Linked DNA regions of Rattus norvegicus. The protein of the gene in region 2 interacts with the protein of the main gene of each other region in a pairwise test. Links are inferred from orthologs where the notes say so. Each region holds a gene or a part of one and is shown on either strand. Other genes may lie near its edges.

Region 1 (6,375 bases), on a different chromosome or scaffold from region 2:
TGCTGAGCTGAGTCTGAGGATCTGAACAAGGAGAGGCCTGGCTTCCTCAGAGCTGAGAGGGACAGAAGATTCCCACCAGGCTTCAGAGGAACCCACAAAGCCACGGAGAGGGGCAGTAGCAGAAGGCTTTTGAAGAAAACAACCCTGAGAGCTTAATTATAGCGTTCCCCGACCTTAAACTACAGCCGTCCTGAAACTTTAAATATAGCATTGGCTCCCGAGAAACCTCTCCAGATCCTTATTTTTTTTTCCTGTCCCAATTGGCTGTTTGGAAAACCCACTATGAACTCGGCTGAAGATAATTATCACAATATGTCCCTTGGAGTGCTCAAAGAAAGACCTTTTATTCAGTTCCTCGAATCTACCCCCTCCTGACTCCTGTCGAAGAATACAGTCTCAGGAAGAAGAGGAGGAGGAAGAGGAGGAGGAAGAAGAGGAGGAGGAGGAAGAAAAGGATGAGGAAGAAGAGGAGGAGGAGGAGTGAACAACGGAAGATGACTCAATCACACATTTCCTGGTCAATGGTGGTGGCTGGGTTAGCAGATGGTTAACAAAGTTGTTTTCTACCCTCAGAAGGAAAGGTTGACCCAGGCTCAACCCCAAGAAAGTCAGCAGCTATTGCAACCAGGTGCCAAGACATGCACCTACCAATCCAATGTTCTACCTGGCTCTTGCAAGCAAAAGCTTAAAAACAAGGAACCCCCTCCTCTCTGGCTTTCCGTCTGACACCTAAGTTGGAGATTACACGGTCAGGTACCAGCTGAACAGAGGCCCTTTCAACCTGCAGTGTTTGCTGTTACGTTTTGGAGCTGGCATGCAATGCTGGCCTTTAAAGCCTGTTTGATGTTTTTTGTTTTCCTTTTTTTCCCAAGCATGTGGCCAGCAATGTGGGCCACATGAAGAGTAGCACCTGGCTAGTCTCCTCTAGCTAAGAGCACTCCATGGTCTCAGCTCAGATCCCTATGGCCTTCGGACAAGGGAGGCAGTGACTGGGTCCTAGAGCCTTGGATGCTTGCCCCTTCATGATTCCCAGAGCACCTAACTGTCCTAGGTGTCCCTCAGAGGGGCTTCATGAAAAATTTAGGTCTGGACATGTTCCGTCTGATCCTGTGCCCTCTTCCAAGCCCAGCCCCACCAACTCCAGATGCTGAAAGCAGCAAGAGGGGAAAGAAAGCACACACAGACCTGTAGAGAAGCTACTCCTTCCTAGAAGCTTAGCCTGCTCCAGATGTCTCCATCCCGTGAGAAAAGGTTCTCCTTGCTCTTCCAGATGCCCAACAACTTTTACATTTTGCATTGAGGTCACCCTAACTTTGGGCAAATCCAAAGTCCTAAATGTCACATATATTCATGTCCCCACCCCTGCCACTCCACCCAAACAGGAATCCTTTCCGTTTAAAGAAAAGAATGTGAAAGGGACGGAAGCCTCACCTGGACTCTGCTGCCTCCCTCCGCCCTCCTCCCGGTCTTCCATTTCCTGGCAGTTTAAGCCTCATGTCCCACCCTCACCCCTAATATGTCTCTGCTGCCTTGAGCTCCTGCAAACCCCATGTGTCAACACTCCCTTGGCCATAGAGAATACCAAGAATAAAATAGATTGAAACCATATTTTAAATGATTACCCTTCATTTGTTTTTAAATTAAAACGAGCTCGTGGTTAAAACAACAGGAAACATTCAGGTCTTCACCAAAAGCCCACAAGCTACCTTTACTGTCACCCACTACAGCATATGCCCTGGGCTGACAGGAGCCTAGGGGAATGGGGAATGGGGACTGACCTGAAGGAGGTGACACCCTGCAGGGAGTTCTGATGGGTAAACAGATGGCAGGCCTGGGTAGAAGGGTCCTATCCCAGTTCTCCTGGTGATTCTGTGGATGGCCCATGTGTGCTGGGGTCTAGCTCTGGACCCCTGGACACTAAGAAGTCATTACTACTATCCTTTGGTCTTTGTAATGGGATAGCAGTGACTCTGACTCGTAAGCCCTCTTCGGAGAGCTATATCTGCAACACTGAGTCAGCATGCCCCAGAAGGCGGGAAAATGGGGAGACGAAGGAGAGCTTCCCCTGCGGAAGGGGAGCATGTCTGGCTCAGCACCAGGGCTGTGCCCTGGCTCCCACCTAATCCCCATTCATCTTCTCACCAGCCTTAACTCTCTCCCAGCTTTACTCACTGTCTGTATGTTCATCTGGTCTCCAACCAGAACCAAGCTCAATGACACATAAACAGCTTGGCTTGAGGGAGCCCCACAAATGCTTTGGATTATGTTCTCATTAAAGTGAGAGAGGCTAATGTGGCAAGCCGCCGAAGAGTTCCAGATATAGGCCAATCAGAGTCCCCAAGGGCAGGACTCTAGGCCGGACAGCAGGAAGTCAGGGGATTAGGAAAAGGAGAAACCCTCCTTGGGGACTGGAGAGGACTATGAGTTACAGAAATGAGATGTCATCACCAGGAAAAGGGCCAACACTCAGGAAGCATTGGTCGAGAGAGGACTGGACTATGGGCAGGCAGCTGTCCTTCCCCTCCGTGGGCCAATTCTCACAGCTCTGGAAAGTGGTGGTCCCTATTGGCTCCCTTTGTTAATGGCAAGCAATTTAAGGGGCTCTCACCAGGGGAGTAAGGGTGTGGCGAAGCTGCTATGGGAGGGGTGTTTGCTGAAGGCTGGTGTCAGCCAGGCTTCATTTAAATCATCCCAGATTCCTTGCAAAGGCTATAAACAGTGAAGTGATGAAATTGCCTTTGGAGCCAAAACAGGGAGGAGGCCCTGTCCCAAGGGAAGGCCAAGAAGCGCCACTAAAGAGTGGTGAGGAATGAGGAGCAAGGACAGGAAGGAAGGGATATCTCTCTGAGGGGCTCAAATGAAGCCTGAAGACCAGAGCCCCCCTATCATGCAGTGTTCTGCAGAGTTCTTGGGGGTGGGCCTTCCTAGATAGATGCTGAAGTTTCCGTTTAGACAAGCACAGAACGGTCCAGAGAATTCTAGTCCACCCAGCCTGAAGCTTTTGGGAAAGAGATCATCACCCTATAAAGTGCCTGGGCAAAGCAGTCCTTGTAAACAGCTGGCAGATTGACCGAGGGATCCCAGACTGAATGGCAAAGCAGGGCTGCAAAGGTTGATATACATGTAACAAGATGGGCTGCACCTCACACACCACCCAGCTGCTCCCTGTCTCCCTCTCCCACTAGTTCTTCTTTACAGTGCTTACCAGCAGGCAGGCAGGCAGGCAGGCAGACAGACAGACAGACAGACACACACACACACGCGCGCGCGCGCCCCATTTCCCCATCCATCTGTCAAATCCAGAGACTTAACTTCTCTAATTTCTTATACCATCTCCTTTTCAGGCTACTTTTAGGGATCCATCAGGACAGGAGAGATAGGAGCACTTTTAAGCCCTAATATGTTCTCATCTTCAGCCTCTCTCAACTCAGACTTCCCCTGGAGGTGGGACTCTGAATCCTGGGGCCATAAGGCACTCAGACATGTTCCAGTGTAGCTATAGGACCACTTAGCAGAAAGCATAATGAAAACTCAGGCAAAGGTTTCAAGGCACTCTTCCCCGAGCCAGCCACTGTGCTAGACACGGTGCCTGCCCCTGCCCTCTGAGCATGAGAGCTGGCTGTCAAATTCCACAGAGATGAATCCATGACCCTGGAGAACATGCAGCAAGGGCCTTACTCCAGTGTTGGTTGAATTGTGACAGACCTTGGAGCTAAGCAGAGGGGCTGTATGGGAGTTGCGAGAATCCTCCTCAGTTCCTTCCCTGATGCGCCCACTCAAGGTTGCCACTGCTTCTCAAGTGTTCTTGCCCACCATCTTTGTTTCTTTTCCTGTTGCTATGATAAATACTAACAAAAGCAACTTCAGGGAGAAAGTCTTTTGACTCACAGTTAGAGGTACAGACTGTCATGGCGAGGAAGTCCAGCCAGTGTGAGCTTGAGCCAGCGGGCCATGCCCATCTGCAATCAGGAAACAGACAGTAATGCATGCTTGCTGCTGCTCATCTCCTTTTCTCCACATACACACTCCAGAATCCCAGCCATGGAATGCTGCCACCCACCACAGACAGGTCTTCCCACCTTGGGTAATTCTACTCGAGATACTGCTCCCTAGGCATGGCCAGAAACCCATTCCCAGGTGACTGTAGATTCTGCTAAGTTGGCGTTGAACATTGACCGTCAAATCCACACTGCATCTCATCTTCCCAGTTGATCACAGAAGACACAAAGCAACATTTGGAACATGAGGTTAAGGAATCAATGGTGTACAAAACCCTAGAGGGCTGTTGGTCATTGTCACAACCCTGACGTTCTGCCTGCTCAGTCAAGTTATTGTCCCTTCTCCTTCTCCCCTGGTCTTGTAGTTGCAGGAGAAATAGCTCTTAGAACTGTGAAGGATTTCTGTTCCTCCCTCCTAGTGGTAGTACACAAGCCAAGGAGAGAAGATTTTTTTGAGTGCAAATCTTGGCTTCTCCACTTGTATTGTGTGTACCGTTAGTAACATTCTTAAATGTCTTTGGCCCTCAGTCTATTTGACCATAAAACTGATACTTTAGACTGTAAAATTTATATGATTGTCAAAATGATTGCCTTGAGGCCAGACCCAACACTTCGGCCACATTTCAAAAATGAAATCAAGAAAACAGAGAGGACTGGCTGCTTCCAGCACGTTTTGGGGCTTTAAATTTTTAGGTAAAAGGTAAAAAACAAACATCTGACCAAATGCATAGGTGGAGTTGAAAGAAAAAAGAGATTTCCAGGGACCAAGCAAAACAAGCCCCAACAAAGAGGAATTCTTGGAGGAGGAACAAGAGGAGGAGGACAGGGAGAAGGAAACAGAGGTGGCATTAAACTGGGAACTCAAGCCAGAGGGGACACAAATATAGGGCCAAGTGGCAATATCCTGAGCATGGAGTCTGCAGTGTGTACAATGATGGGAACAAGTGACTGTGAGTCCCAAGGGACAACTAGGTCACTGCTCCCACAGCAATGCCGGGACCACACCTGTCCTTCCTCAGGACTACTGTCTGTCACTGTGTCTCACTAGGGACAGTCCAAGACCTTTCCGATTGGTCATGACACTCACTCTGACTGGTTGGTGCCTGATTATACCTGTCAGGAAAGATTCTAACTTGTATCTCAGCTGGTTCCTCTGAAAATAAGGAAGGAGAGGAACAAAAGGCTAAGGGAAAAGGGCCATTTGGCTGAGAGCTGACCAGAGAACAACTCGACATCTCCAGACTCCAGGTAGGGTCTCCTGTGTGTGTGTGTGTGTGTGTGTGTGTGTGTGTGTGTGTGTGTGTGTGTGTGTATGAGTGTGTGTGTGTGTGTGTATGAGTATGTATGTGTGTATGTGAGAGAGAGAGAGAAAAAGAGAGAAAGAATATATGTGAGTGTGTGTGTGTGTATGAGAATGTATGTGTGTGTGTGAGAGAGAGAAAAAGAGAGAAAGAATATATGTGAGTGTGTGTGTATGTGTGTGTGTATGTGTGTGTATAAGTGTGTGTGTGTGTGTATGTGTGTGTGTGTATGTGTGTGTGTGTGTTAGGGATAGAACCAGGCTCTCATACATGGTAAGTACTTTTTTAGTCCTTAGGGCCAATGTTCCTCCACAAGCGTTTCACCAACAATGTTTTAGAATACAAGATAAAATATGGGGGTAATTTGAGTTAAACTCATAAATACGTTTGTCTTTATAATGAGCCTCACTGGGGTATGCCAGCAAATCAATATATGCCATGCAGTTAAAAGTATGATTTTAATATCCTTCTTTGCGGATAACTTGCCAATTATCTTATTAAAATATCCTTATGGTCCAGGCCCTCCTCTGGCCTCTGTGGACATTGCAACCACATACACATACCTCATACAGTTGCACACACATACACATAATTAAAAACAAAATAAAGGGGTTGGGGATTTAGCTCAGTGGTAGAGCGCTTGCCTAGCAAGCTCAAGGCCCTGGGTTCAGTCCTCAGCTCCGAAAAATAAATAAATAAATAAAATAGCTTAATGGTGCATATATATATATATATATATATATATATATATATATATATATATATATATATATATATATATATATGGCTGGTGTTAAGACACATAAGCAGCTTTCTCTTGAGAAGCCCACAGTCACACTGGGGCATGCTCTGTTCTTCCTGAGTGTCTCTCTATTGACATCCGAACTAAAAGGGTCAAAGATGCTTCTCCTAAGGAGTTGAGGTTCTGTCCTTGACTTTATCCCCATTTCCCAGAGCAAAGTAAGTCCTAGTGGGCTCAATGGCTTGCTCTGCCTCTTTATTTTTTAAATTAGTTAACTAATTAATTAATTTACAGTCCAACTGCCATTTCCCCTCCCTCCTCTGCTCCCTGTCTC
Region 2 (5,575 bases):
AACTGCCTTTGACTCCAGTTACCAAGGACCCGATGCTCAATTCTGACCTCCACGGGCATCTGGCACGCATGTGGTGCATAGATATACACGCAGGTAAAACGTTCATGTGGCTAAAATAAACCAAATCGTCTTCGAAAAGAAATTAAGAGGAGTTGGAGCTTGCTTTCAAGCCCAGGGGTTGAGATTTCAGGCTAGACCCTAGCTCTCTTTTGAGTTTACTTTCTAATTAGCGTGTGGTATTTTCCTACATGCTTAGCTTAGCTTGTCCTTCCATGCCCCAATCTGCTCCTCACAATTCCCCCTCCTGGTAAACACCAGCAGGAATGAAGACATCTCCAAAGAGGCACGAGGGTCCCTTCCTTTGGCCATCAGATTTTGGCTCTCAGGAGTCTCACGCTGAGAGAAGAAGACTGGAGCCACCCAGAGGGAACTTGTCCCGTAGAGAGATGTCACATGGTTCTGACAATGTGACAGACTACTGTGCAGGGCAGACTGGAGCGGAGAGGAAGGTCAGTGATGGGCAGGCCCACACTTGACCAGCACTGCTTAGCCATGCACAGCCGTGCCCTCTAGAAGACTAAACCTTCTGTTAAGAGCTCACGATGGATTCAGGGGTCACTGTCCCTCACTGTTCTTTCAAGGGGTCACACTGAATAAAACCACCTCTGCTTCCATGATTACTTGTCTCTATAACTGCCCTACTGAGGGCTTAGTCTGTTAGCCAAGACCCATGTTCTGACTCTTAACAATTCCAGGAAGACTCTCAATGCTACCCCCACCCCCACTGCTAGAACCCTCCCTCCCTCCCACTCCCCTTTCCACTATAGTCAGTCTGGGCTAGTGCCCGTTCAGGCCCAGAAGCCTCCTTTACATGGCCGCTCTGAAGGAAATGGGGAGCCCCCACCAAGAGCCATTAAAGCTGCAGCCCCCTCCTCCCTGTAAGAGACTCCCCAAGTGCCCCGGTTCCTGGAGAATGACAAGCGCTATAATTCTCAATTCCCCCAAGAAAGCCTACAGGGCTGGGTTCCCAGACTCCAAGATACCAGAAAGCTAAAGGCAGCACGTACCCAGCCTGTAATGGTACCTTAACTGAATATAATCCTGGGCCTCACCCACCCCTTCTCAGCCAGCTCACTCATTCCTTCCTTGGGAAGCAGGACCCCTCCCCTCCCACTGCCGCTCAGGAATTAACCTCAGCCTGGCTGCAGGTCTGAGCTGTAGACTGCTAATCAACTGTATGATGAGCCACCTTCCTCGGAGACCCACAGGTGGACGCAAGCTGCCACAAGGGCCCAAATTCTCCTCCAAGCCTCTGCCTCGCTGCTGCCACCTGTATTTAACAAATCTACCGCCCTAAGACAATTGCCTTTCCTGCGTCACACACATTTTCTTGCCCTCTCCATACCCCTGCCTCAAAGCCCCTTCTCAGTTTCCTGGCCTATGACCTCACTCCCACATAAATACACATATGTGGAAATCAGATGCTAGGATCCACGTACAAGAGGACACGAGGTACTTGTCTTTCTGGGGCATCAGTTAACATAGCGTTTTCCAGTTCCTTCCGTTTCCCTCTACATTCCGAAATTTCATTTTCTTCTTCACAGCCAAATAAAAGCCCATTATTGGTGTGCCACCAGCCCATTACCCGACAGAGCCACAATGACCATGGATGTGAATCCCTGCGGTAGGGAGCAGCCTCTTGGGTCGATGCCTGGAAGGAAATATTGCTGGGTTGTTTGGGCTTTCCATATTTAGTTTCTTGAGAAGCCTCCACACTGATGTCCACAGTGGCTGCACCAGCCCGCCCTTCCGCCAACGGTGAATGAGGGATCTGTTTTCTCTACAGCCTCAACATTGTTTGTCACCAATTCTCTGTAACGAGTCTGACATTTTATGTGATTTCTGTGTTTCTCTGTCCTGTCAGCTTCCTGGCGTGGGACATCTTGACCCTCCTGGTATTTAAAAGTTGTCTCCTTTGACCTCCTGCAGTTGATGGGTGCCAGAGGAGAGATGGTTTGTTTGGGGGTGACTTCTGCCTTAGGTTGCCTGCTCCTGAGCATGACCGTACACCCACACATAAACAGACAACTCAGGGGACTTGGGGCTTTGTTTTGTTTTGTTTTTAAGGACATGAAGTGTTGGACAACTTGGAAGAAGACACTGAGAGAGATCTGGGAGGACTCGGAGGGGACAGGTGAGAAGCAGTTATGATCAAAATACATCCTGTGCATTCTGAATTTCTCAGAGAATATTTTTTTAGAGCACTAGATGCCCATCAGGCCTTGCTCAGCTTCAAGCCAGCATAGGCTCCCTGAGTAGCATGCTGGGATAACCCTGTTCTTAGCAAGCTCCTGGGTAAGTTCTGGCATGGTTCACTTGCTTGAGGCCAGAAAGGGCCTCAAGTCTACAGATGGCCTCCATTGATGTTGTCAAGTCTGTGAGTGATAAAAGTTGCCAGGCTGAAGTAGCCAGGTGTAGTGATGAATCCCAGAACTCATGAGGCGGAAACAGGAGGACTGCCACAAGTTTGAGGCTAGCAGAGACTGACCAGTATCCCTAAATGGTTCTATTGTCAGTCTCCCAATTCATCCAGGAGTCATAAAATGTATATCCCCACAGGCAGGAGGGTAGTGACCCAGCAGAGCCCTGAACCCCCACTGGACATCTTCCCTGCCCTCCACAAGCACTTCTTCCTGCATATGTAAGAGTGTTCCCCGTGTCTCCAAAATGAGATCTGAGTGCCTGGAGAGCAATAGGAAGATCGGAGGAGCCTGAACAACATAGTGAAACCCTATTCAAAAGAATCAATTGATCAATAAGTAACAACCTAGTAGATGTGTATGTGGTGTATCTCCCAAGCCCTCCATGATTCAAAGCATAGGAAAGACTCACTTTGTGGTGTGCCAGGGTTGAAAATCCTGGGCATGTTTCTCTCTCCTATTAAGACACTGGGCAAATTAAAAACTTCTCTTCTGATTGTTAGCTTTCTTCGTCTTCTATTCCCTGTCTGGAGAACAGGCAGGAAAATAGATGCGACCCACAAAGCGACGGCCGGTCTAGCACCAGGCACATGGTGATTGCCACAACCAGCAGCACAGGGTCGCTCGTCCCATTCATCCCAGTGCCTACGAAAACACTGGTTCAGCTGTCCTTTGTTTGTCTGTCTGTCTGGGGGGGGGTCTTTTATTGGTTGTGCATGTACACACACACACATACGAGCCAGAGACGGACGAAAGAGAGAGGGACAGAGAGAGAGAGAGAGAGAGAGAGAGAGAGAGAGAGAGAGAGAAGGAGATGGGGCGTCTTCCTCTATCACACTCACAGGGTCACTGAACCTGGAGCTAAGCTGGCTGGCCGGCAAACCTTAGGGATCCTCCTGAGTCTGAGGCCCCAGAAATGAGGTTAAAGCTATGTACCGCTGCACCCAGATTTCTACACGAGTTCTGGGGATCCACACCCAGGCCCCCATGCTTGTGCACTAAAACTGTAGCCAAGCATCACTGTAGCCCAGGGCACAGTCTTTCAATGCCATGCCCTATCCCTTGAGTAGAAGTGGAATCTGTCCCTCTCCAGATGATTACCTCCAGCAAAGGCCGGTGTCACTATCTCTATCTAATTGAATCCCAGATGTAGAAGGGAGGAAAGGGAGGAGGGAGGGGAGGAGGGGGGAGAGGAAGGGGAATATAGGAAGGGAGGAAGGAGGGAGGGAGAGAGGAAGGGAGGAGGGAGGGGAGAGGAAGGGATGAAGAAGAGGAGGAAGGAAGAAATGGAGGAGAGAAGGGAGAAGAGAGGGGAGAGGGAAGGGAGAGGGAGGGAAGGGAGGAGGGAGCGGGGAGGAAGGGAGAGAGAGGAGAAGGAAATATGGAGTGGGAGGGGAGGGGGGAGGGGAGGAAGGAGGGAGAGAGGAAGGGAGGGAAGGAGGGAGGGAGACAAGGAAGGAGAGACAAGCCAGCCCCTCAGAGTGTTGGAAACTGCTTCTTGGAGAAGGGGACATTGCTGATACAGATTAGGTGGACTGAACACCAAATACCTCCCAGCACTCATGACTGACCCCGCAGGCAATCTAACATCAGAACATCTCCACCCCTTCCACTCAGCCAACAACCTGACTGAGGAGCGCCTGTGGACAAGGGACAATAAAGTCATCTCGATGATAAACGGGTGAGAGAAGTAAAGTTGGAAACTCAGAAAGTCACCAGTACCTCCTGAGGGTTTCGGGTGGCTCCACGCGGAAGGGAGCCCATCTGGCAGAGGTCAGAGTCTCTCCCAAGGCCTTGCTGACCTCCTGCAGCTGGCCTGGGGACAGCTGTGCCACCAGTGCCATCTGGTCACAGCCCTGCCACCGGAGCAGCATCTCCTGATCCTCCAACTCTTGGCTCAGCCGTTGTTCCTTCGCCTCCAGCACAGACACCCTTGCCCGGAGAGCTTCGATTTCCTTCTGCAGAGAAAGGGGCAACAGATTTCAGCCATTAACCCTGCTCTGCTGACAGTGAGAGCAAGCTAAGTGATTGGGGGCCATATGCGCCCGGAGACTCAAAGCCCACCTACCCCACCTTCTGAGGCAAGCGAATTCCAGAAGTTTGCTGAACTGGAAAAATCATGCCAGCTTTAGGTTTCTGATGAGCTGGCAAGAAGAAAAACATTCCCTTCCTCCCAAGCATTAAATATGGACAGGTGCGGGCCAAGGTTTTGATTTGATAAAACCCAGTGAATGCTGTATGGCTGGCTTCCCTTCTGGTGGGCAAATGAAGGGTGCTAGCAGCTCACACCCCACACTGAGACACCAGCTGTGTGTGAGCCAGGAGGAGAAAACCCTGTCCCCAAACACGAGAATTTAGGATGCACAGAAAGGCTTGCCACACCGACGATGTCGGACAGTTAAATTCCAAGGCTCACCGAGGTGACTCTGTCAGATAAGTGCTTGCCGGGCACGCATGAAGAGCTACTTCTGATTCCCCAGAACCCATGGCAAAGCTGGGGTCCCACAGAATGAATCCGTAACCCCAGGATGGGGGTGGGGGTGGGGAGCAGAGACAGGAGGAGCCTGGGGACTTGCTGACCAAGCCACTCTAGCCCAGTCAGTGAAAACTAGATTCAGTGAGAGACTCTGTGGGAGTCTGGGCTAAGTATCTAACATCAACTGATGTCCTCCACATACACACGCACACACGTGCACGTGTGCCCACATTCAAACACACGCACTCACACACATGTGCACACACGGGCACTCACGAATGCACTCTCGAGCATGCACGCACGCACACACATGTAATTTGCACTAATTGATTGACCCAGAATCTCCGTTAATCCATAGCTATTATCTGTCTCCAGGCCAACGACTAAACAAGCAGCAGGTGACGGAACAGCGTGTGCTCAGGGCTGGGCAGATAGCCATCTCTCTGCGTAGGAGTCTGAACACAGCACCAGACTCCGCTGAGGGACACGCCCCTGTTCCCTCGCTGTTCCTAGCTGATAAGAGCACCGCTTAATCCCTGATATCTCCCTATCTCCTGAATGTTCTCTCCACCCACGGAGCAGATTCTCCACAGCGTCTACCTCCTGCACCCACCTGCAG

The links. The genes of interacting proteins can lie anywhere in the genome.
Region 1: the proteins of Disc1 (region 2) and Clu interact in binary tests that used the Homo sapiens proteins (3 or more experiments, as listed by UniProt). The link is inferred for Rattus norvegicus from reciprocal best matches to the Homo sapiens genes DISC1 and CLU.

The regions. Positions count from the first base shown.
Region 1 is NC_086033.1:44,334,185-44,340,559, reverse strand, and holds the start of Clu (clusterin precursor), read right to left. Parts: upstream 3,942-6,375; 5' UTR 3,889-3,941; intron 1-3,888.
Region 2 is NC_086037.1:69,987,314-69,992,888, reverse strand, and holds part of Disc1 (disrupted in schizophrenia 1 homolog), read right to left. Parts: intron 4,439-5,575; coding exon 4,203-4,438; intron 1-4,202. UniProt on the Homo sapiens protein: Involved in the regulation of multiple aspects of embryonic and adult neurogenesis. Required for neural progenitor proliferation in the ventrical/subventrical zone during embryonic brain development and in the adult dentate gyrus of the hippocampus.